2 linked regions of the Xenopus tropicalis genome follow. The protein of the gene in region 1 interacts with the protein of each later gene in a biochemical or structural test. Links are inferred from orthologs where the notes say so. Each region holds a gene or a part of one and is shown on either strand. Other genes may lie near its edges. The genes, in order: sorbs1 and flot1.

Region 1 (4,466 bases):
GTGCCTTTACACAAAAAATATATTGTAATATTTACAGGTAGATAAGTAATATGCTGCTAATTGTGCTCATGTGCAGTCTGGGCAGACAAAGTTTCTTTTGCATTGCTCATTTCCAAGTCAGCAAATTATGATAGCGTGATTAGCAAAGCTAAAGTCACTTCTCCCAGGTTGCTGATGATCATTGAATATCTTGATTTGTTTAAAATTACATGAACATTTTCATACAGATATGTTAAGTTCTCTGTCAGTGTAATTAGGGAGATAGTGCATAGCCCATTTTGGGGACAAATAGGTTAAGAATCCCTGTTCCAATAAAATTATTCTGGCACAGGTATGAAATATATCTGGAGTTCTTGGGAACTGGGGTTTTGGATAAGACGTCAAGGAGCACAGTGCCTTAAGGCTATTAGCAGGGGAATAAGACAATCTGTGGGCCCCCTGCAAAAAAATATTCTGAACCCACAATACACTAGCTTGTAAATCAACATTCCTCACAATGGTTCCAATTTCCATTATAATATGTTATATACTTAACAACATTTCAATTTACCCTAATTACAAGATTTCAATTTACCCTAATTTTTTTATACTTTTAAAATTGTCCTCTACTTCGTTCTAGCTGTCATTTTGGGGTTACTGACCGCAGCAGCCAAAAATCTATTTCTATGTAAGGCTACAGTTTTATTGTTATTGCTGCTTTTGCTACTTATCTTTCTATTCAAGCCTCTCCCCTATTCATATTCGAGTCTCACATTTAAACCACAGTCTGGTAGCTAGGGTATACTGGAACCTTGCAACCAGGCCTGGACTGGCAATCTGGTTCTGGCAAATGCCAGTGGGGCTGCTGTAAGATGCAATAGAAAGTCACCATTTAGGCTAATGTCCCATGGGGAGATTTTGTCGCTGCGATTTTTAAAAGTCGCTCATATTTTCCTAACAAGCAATTACTACAGATTTCCACAACGGAGTGATTCTATTTCCCACAAAGGTGTCATATTCCTCTCCCACAATTAGAAATTACATTCAGTGCAATGGGGAAATCGCAGCAACTTCACACCTAGTTGGTTTTACTTTCAGCGATTCCAATAGTTTTGAATGACAATGCTTTCTTTGTAAAATCGCTCGAAAAAGGATCTCATGGCGATTCGGAGCGATAAGCGATTTGAAGAAGTATCACCAGTTTAGGTATTCTTCTCTATGTAGAGACAAAATGAGCAAACCAGTTGCAAATTGTCTCAGAATGTACTAAAAGTTAATTTAAAGGTGAACCATGCCTTTAAAATATCAAAATTATGATTTATGATAGCTCAGGTAACATTAGATACAAGATACTGTCTTATCATATAAAAATGCTTATGCAGACAGAATAGCAATGCTGTTTTTCTGATAGTAAATTCCATACCAGCACTTGCAATAATCATCAGCCATAAGATCAAAGTCCTCTAAGCTCAAATAAATAAATGTACAATAATCAATCATCCGTAGTTAAGTCAACCTGTGAAAGCTTGAAAATATGTGCTGATATTACAGGGGTTGGTATAGGAAGCATAGTAAATATGACACAGAGATAGGAAGCATGATGGACATGACTTGTTTCCCAGCAAGCAAAACAAGAACATTCATATGAACGTGTCTAAAAGCTGCCCTAACCTGGCATAGGAATAACTGAAATTTGCAATTGAAAAAATGCAGTTTCAACAAAAATAAAATGTGACTTTTAGCATGGTGTAGACAGACATTTTAAGACAATATACAATTGTTTTTCATTTTTTTTTATCATTTTTAGATTTTGAATTAGTTAGCTTTTTGCTCAGAAGGTCTCCAGTTTGGATTTTTGCCAGCTACCTGGTTGCTAGGGTCCAACCAGGTAGAGGTTCAAATGACAGACTGGAAAGTGAATAGCTGAAAACATAAATAAAAAGATAAGCAGTGAAAAATAACAATAACCAATGTAGCCTCGTAGGGAAACAATTTTTGGTTGTTGCGGGGCAATGACCCTGAACAAAAATTACAAAAAGTTATGACCAACTGATACCCACAGTGGTACATGCAGTCGTTCAGTACTGCTAACTTACTTCAATAAAGGGGAGATTTGCTTTCTTTAAGGCAGCCAAGTCAAAACAAAGAACTATGAAAGAAGATCTCTAAGAATTCAAAGCGTTATATATTTTTAGGTCTTTTTAACAACATCACCTACTAAAACCAAACACAAAACATGCTTATCGTTAAACATTATGGATTTTGACTGCCTTTTTTTTTCCTAATAATGCAACACATATTACTCTTCAAATCTGGAAATGTTTCAGTGGCCTGTTTAGCACTTACCACATGCTAATCTAACAAACATCTGTGAACCACACCACAACTGCAACTGCTACACAGCTGTCATAGGAGTCTCTCTTAAGGCTACAACACAGGGGTATTAACATGATTAAAGAGTTTGTTTTAATGTGAAGTCTGTGTGATGTCAAGAGGATCACGCAATTTTAGCACTTGTTTCAGGTAATTCTATGACTTTCTTTGATCAGAAAACCCACTTGGTCTTGTTTATTGACTGTTCCGTTAAGCAAACTTAGTGTTAATCACAGATCTAGACATTGCAATATGGAAGGATCTTCAATTAAAACTCCCAGCAACCACAACATCCACATAGAAAGTGAATATAGACTGTCACCATTAGGAAACACTGCACCATGATAAGCTGCAACATATCTTCTTAAAGAAGAATTGCAGTATGGAGACATTCCTGAGTCAAAAAGCTCTGTATTTGACAAGCAAAGTTTAATTTCCTTCATTCCAGATCCTTACCTTTCGATATACTCCTCTTTAAAGGTTGTGATCTGCTTGTGCCGCATGTTTCAAACTATTTAACCGCGAGTTTAAAGAAAACGTCTGAGCTTCACAAAATGAAAAGTGTCTTTGACAAGCTTCTCCTCCCTCTGTACATTTAAATATCTACTCCGTACCCACCCTCCTTGAAGCTTAAATTAGCTTTGTTTCTTAGTGATGTCACTGGCTGCTTTACAATGCACCAGCCCTTTCAGCAGCATAACATTCCATTTGACGTTAACATCAAACAGACGAAAGGGAAAAAAAGGTGTAAAATATCTTTCAATAATAACCTCTCTCTAATGTAGCCGACCACAACATACATGAGAAAAGAGATCTGTATAAATAATACAAGCTCTGTGGGATAGCAAAAAAGGTAAGCCTCCTCTGTGACCTTTGTTAGGGCTAGTTTTAGGGATGATCAGAAATGGCAGTTGTCCTAGGAACCGGCATCATAAGGGACTATTCATGAAAAAAGATTAGATCACAAAAAAGTACAAAGCTCTCCAGTTGTTGCTCAACACAAGCTACCAGTCTTCCTGCATTGCCAGGCACCTTAACTACACAACCTAAGGATAATGCCAAACCGGGCTGCGGATAAACGTTTAACCACGTTTAACCACAGGCCAGAAATTAGTCCTGTCTGGTATTAGTCTAAACATTTTTTTATATTTTCTTCCATAACATTTTCCCATTACTATGTGCCCAAGAAAATTCCAGTTCACCAATAATGTCCATCAAGGTAGGGCAATAGCCTATTCGCATAGGAAATTCCTTGTGCAATTCAGTTGGTAAGCATGTAGGTAAAACAATGAAATCGCATGAAGGATGAATCCCAGGTGGCCAGAAAAGCAAAGACCAAGAACTTATAGGTACCAGAAAAAGTAGTTTTTCAGTATAGTGTAAGTTAAGTGTATTTTATAATTAAAAAATAATTCTGGTTATTATATATTTTTATTCATTTCCTTGAAGCAAACTATAACTTATGTGACCACAGCTTGTTGTGTGCATTGAAGAATCAGAAGGAGCTGCCAATTCTTTACAATTCCTTAATAATTGCTTTTCTTCAAAACATGGTCCCTTACGCAATGTAGTAATGTAATAGTGGCCCTGTAATATATAAAGTCTTCCCAGTTTGATTATTTACTCACATATCAGGTTAGACCAGATGTTCAAAAACCATAGGACAGGGTCCCAAGTGCTGGGCATGGGGTGCCAGATGTTCTGAAACCATAGGACAGGGCCCAAGTGATTGGCATGGGGTGCCAGATGTTCTGAAACCATAGGACAGGGCCCAAGTGATTGGCATGGGGTGCCAGATATTCTGAAACCATAGGACAGGGCCCAAGTGATTGGCATGGGGTGCCAGATGTTCTGAAACCACAGGACAGGGCCCAAGTGATTGGCATGAAGGCCAGTTTGGGCGACATTTAGGGCTATGACACACAGGGAGATGAGTCACTGCGCGACAAATCTCCCTTGTCGCGGGCGTCTAATCTCCCTGAAATGCCATCCCACCGGCTAGAATGTAAATCGCCGGTGGGATGGCATACGCGACGCAGCGATTTGCCGAAGTCGTGGAAGTTGCCTTGAGAGGAAACTTCTGCGACTTCGGCAAATCGCGGCGCCACGTATGC
Region 2 (4,615 bases), on another chromosome or scaffold:
TTTTAAAACCCAGCCCAGTCCTGCGTAGGTGGTTCTTTATGGGACAGTGAGATTGTAGAAAGCCCTGCTGGGTGATGTTGCGATGGCAGATTCAATATATGCTTTTAAGAGTAGCTTCTTAAACAAACTTCAAATGTGTTCCCACCAGCAAAAATGTAAAACGCTGGTAGGAAAACATTCAGGGCTCTTGCGAGGCAACTTCCAAAAAATGAAACGCTGCTTATGTTTTGCTACCAGCAATGGGGGGAAGCATTGACAGAGATTAGTTGCCTGTGGTAGTGAAGATTTATTGCAGATGACTACTATATCTCCTTGTGTGCCAGTACCTTTAGGCTAATGTCAGACAAGGCATCTGGCATATATTTTAGGCAAAATCGCTTGCCGAAAATATCGCCTTCCACCTCCTACCTGTGCCTGCACTCAAATGAATGAGATACGCTCAGGTGCAGGCACATGTAGCCAATATCTGCATAGAAACACAAGTCTTTGCATTCTCTCGCGTTTTTATGTGTATTCCGGCCTGCACCCAAGCGTATCTCATTAATTTGGGTGCAGGCACAGGTAGGAGGCGGATGGTGATATTTTCAGCTTTCCGAAAATACACGCCAGGCGCTTTGTCTGACATTAGCCTTAGACCTACAGTTAGATAGTGCTATATATAGTAATGTTGTTAGGTATTGATATACTGTATATAGTTATACATGTTAGTGCATAGATAGGTGTGTACTGTATATGCATGTGTATATATGTGCACTGGGGTTTATTTAGAGGTGTTGAACTTCATGGACTTTTTTCAACCCTGCTTACTGTGCACCCAGAATTCGCTGCAGGACTTTGGAAGATTTCAGGAGAATACTGCTGGGGGACGGGAGACCGGGGGAGAGCCATCAAAGTCTGGTAACCCCAGAACAAATAGAGGGGGTTGACAGCGCTGCTGCTTAGCTATGTAAAGGTGACCATACAGGGGCCCATGAAAGTTGTTGACAGTCAGCAGTTTATTGGCTGTGTATGGGCCCTCAGATGTGGTCCTTGTCCTGCCTGTGTACTGTCACTCTGATCCAGCTGTTTGGCCTTCGGGCCAAATGATCAAATCAAACTAATATTGCCCACCTTTACTATGTGAATAAAGCCCCAAATGCCCCATACAAGCTAATGCACCATGTGGCGTTATAGCATAAATTAAATCTAGAGCAAAATTGCCCTGGTACGACCCCTTGTGCTTACAAGTATTGTGAAAATTTCAGCAAATATTACATGCTTATTTAATTTACATGATTTGTGTGGTCACATGAAATATATTGCGCCATGCACAGTGGTAAGACTGTTACTACAGATTTGCTGCATTATGGAGTGATATATTAATAAATGCGTTTTGTATATTTCTGTGTATGCAGCGTTCCGTGTTGGCTGTGTTCTGTAAGAGTTACACGTTAGAACAATTCCGCATCTCTCGGCCTTGAGCCTGCCAATGCGACAGGTGGCGCTAACTTGCTGAGGTGAGTGGGGGGATTGGCTCTATAGTTAGTGAAGAGAAGGGGAGTGCTGGGGGGGGGGGGACGGTAGACGAGGAGGAATAGGGTGGAGTCGAGAGGCGAGAAAGGAAAACACAAGCAAAAGGGAGGGTGGAAAAATTAGGAAATAAAGCTCAAATTGCGACATACTAATAAGGTTACGGAAAAGCCGAGAGGAGCTTACATCTAAGAGTCAAGGTGCGGTTTACTGAGTTAATATTTTGTCTGTTTCGGGTACAATACTTCTAATCGCTAATACCTAAATGTCTGTGCAACATCCGTGCATCGTGTATGTATGTATCCAGTTAATTGTGCTTCCTGGCGAGTCACGCATACAGTGTAGCTTTTACTGCTGCCGCTATGGGTGTGTGTAAGCTAAATATACATTTAGTAGCTAATTATGTTTCTTTATTTAGAGAGCTAATATAAGTTGTAAACATATGCCCTTTGCTAGGAGGAGACCTGCCTGTAGCCTCTGTATCTCCTGTTTGTTTCCCGTAATATGTTAATAATATCCATGCATTAAATAATACGTGCTGGGGAGCGTTACAGGGCATGGCACATTCAATAATCCATCGCATTAGTGGCAAATTGTGATTTTAAACATACCTGTTTTCTTTAAAATATTCATTATGTTTTACATCCATGGGCTATATCCACTTACATTTTATATTGTAGATGAGGTCAAAAATAAAATGTTCCTTTTGCTGTCTATAAGGCTTATTGTGCATTAACCAATTTACTGCTGTTGGTGCAGAACCTCCCTGTTAGCGGATTGCAGGCAAGTGATAGATTGCACAACTGCACTGCATATACTAACCATCACACAGATTATTTTGTGAAAGGAAATTGTGATATTTGCTGTCGCTTCATATGTGAACTGTATTTTTGGCTGATATTAATGTTTAAGAAAAAAAATGTCCCTTTGGGAATAGAAAGTACGTTTCTAATGTGTAAAAACCGTAAAAGGGCTATGCAGTAGCATTTGGTGTAGGCGTTGGTTGTTCTGAGGGAGCCGGTATAAAGCTGAAAATTGATATACAGTAGTTGCTTGAATTTTCTTATTACAATTGTTTTTACACCTGTGGGTTTTCCTTGCCTTCACTTGTTGATGGGAGTAGTTTAGTTTCTTGTACTGTTATCTCTAGATATGCACTAATTGCCGGGTTCGGTTTGAAATTCTGCCAGATCCAAGACTTTTTCTTGCAGGATTTTGGTTCAGCTGAATCTAAATGCCCGACAAACCAAATCTTCGCTTTTAAGGTAGTCATATACAGGCAGATTTCAGTGTGTGGAATGAAAGATTTTAGGACAATCCCAAGTCAACTGGATGAATGTAATTGTGAGAATTAGATTTTGTCAGATGGTTTGAGTAAATAAGGGGCAGTTGCTTTTGTATGTGGGTGATATGGATAACTTTTTACCTATGTATTACATCTTTCCTTATATTACATTTTGTTTTAAGATCAGAAACCATGTATTATATAAACTGTGCTGTAAAAGGGGATATCGGGAATTTTTAAAGGAGACATATCCTATAAAAATTATGAATGTACCAGTGAATTATACTCCTAGATATAGTAGGATTGTGCTTAAAAAAAGTTGTGTTTCTGACTGATTTATTGAGAAATTCCACAAAAACCCCACTAACCCCGCCCATCTGTTCCACTTCCTGCTGGCTGAATTCTCTGGATGAGCTGGGGAGCCGGCGGCCCTCCGTACCCTGCACTGTGGGATAGGAACCAATCCGCAGCTAGGCTGACCTGATAGGGAACTAAAGCCTGTCTTTGCTTGTGTGAGTGCAGGGCTGTGATTGGCTCTCCCCCTCCTACTGTGCTTCTGGCAGGGACCGTTAGGACACTCCCACTCTTCATTTCAAACTCGGACAGAGAAGTGATAGGATCTATAGGGTGCTCCAATAAAGGGGCCATTGTTACAGATAGGGTTAATGTTTAGCCCAAAGGGAAACCAGCACCGGATATTATTCATAATTGCCTACAAAATTACCTTTTTTTCCCATTTATCCAATATGTCTCCTTTAAAATACTTTTCACATCATTATAAGCTCCCCACAGGAAAGGGTTGGAAAATGTTGCTACAGTCTTCCACTGAATATTCTTTATCGCGGATGTTTTCCCTTTTTTCCAAAATATGGTGTTTCTGCCTGCACCCGGACTGAAGCAGTACTTCTGGGTGCAGGCACAATTTAAAGTTTTTTTAAGCGTAGGGTCAGATCCTCCTTGCTGCTCTGTGTGGCACTAGCCTTAAGGTGCCCATACATCTTCAGATCCGCTCGCTTGGGCCCTGGGGCCAAACGATCGAATTGTAATGACGGGTATAGGCAAAGTCAGTCCGGGGATCACACCAACGAGCCGATGTGGTCCCTGATCCGACTAGATTATTTAACCTGCCCGATGGTAGTGCCCATACATGGGCTGATTAGCTGCAGAATCGGTCTAAGGGACCGATATCGGCAGCTAGAATTGGCCCGTGTATGGGGACCTTTATGCCCAGTGCTGCAGATTTGGTGGAGGTCAACATCTTGATAACACACACACATACATACTGTACATAATGTACATGTATAATCAACAAATCACTTACCAGAGTGAAGGATGCCTTTTAACATCAAATGGGCTTGGGATGTCACATCATGAATTTTTTTTTTTTTTACCTTGAATGTTTCTTGTTTTCTGTGCATTCAGATAGTTATGCTCATATCTATAATCTGTCATTTTGCTTTCCATTTATATTTTGTTACTCTTTTCACAGATGGTGTTTTATACATGCGGCCCTAATGAAGCTATGGTGGTATCAGGTACAGTTTTTTTTTACGTGAGCGTTTTGTAATATAGGCTGTGGATGCCTGTAGAATAGAGGAGCCAGCACAGCTTACACAATTTTAGTCTTTGTGTTTAACACACCACTAAGTTTTGAAACGAGAATGACTAGCCCCTTGAACTAGTGGTTTCAGGATACTACAGTAGAGGGCAACAGAAACAAACTTCAGTTGGTTTGTGCTGGGTGTTTGCAGTACTAAAAATTAAAAATGTTTGCCTCTTAAGCTGGCCATACACGTGGCGATCTAACGATGTTGTGTGCAA

The links.
Region 2: the proteins of sorbs1 (region 1) and flot1 form a complex in vitro, tested with the Homo sapiens proteins (2 studies listed by BioGRID). The link is inferred for Xenopus tropicalis from reciprocal best matches to the Homo sapiens genes SORBS1 and FLOT1.

The regions. Positions count from the first base shown.
Region 1 is NC_030683.2:39,374,335-39,378,800, forward strand, and holds the start of sorbs1 (sorbin and SH3 domain-containing protein 1), read right to left. Parts: upstream 2,909-4,466; 5' UTR 2,856-2,908; coding exon 2,809-2,855; intron 1-2,808. UniProt on the Homo sapiens protein: Plays a role in tyrosine phosphorylation of CBL by linking CBL to the insulin receptor. Required for insulin-stimulated glucose transport. Involved in formation of actin stress fibers and focal adhesions.
Region 2 is NC_030684.2:75,252,224-75,256,838, reverse strand, and holds the start of flot1 (flotillin-1), read left to right. Parts: upstream 1-1,599; 5' UTR 1,600-1,709; intron 1,710-4,283; coding exon 4,284-4,329; intron 4,330-4,615. UniProt on the Homo sapiens protein: May act as a scaffolding protein within caveolar membranes, functionally participating in formation of caveolae or caveolae-like vesicles.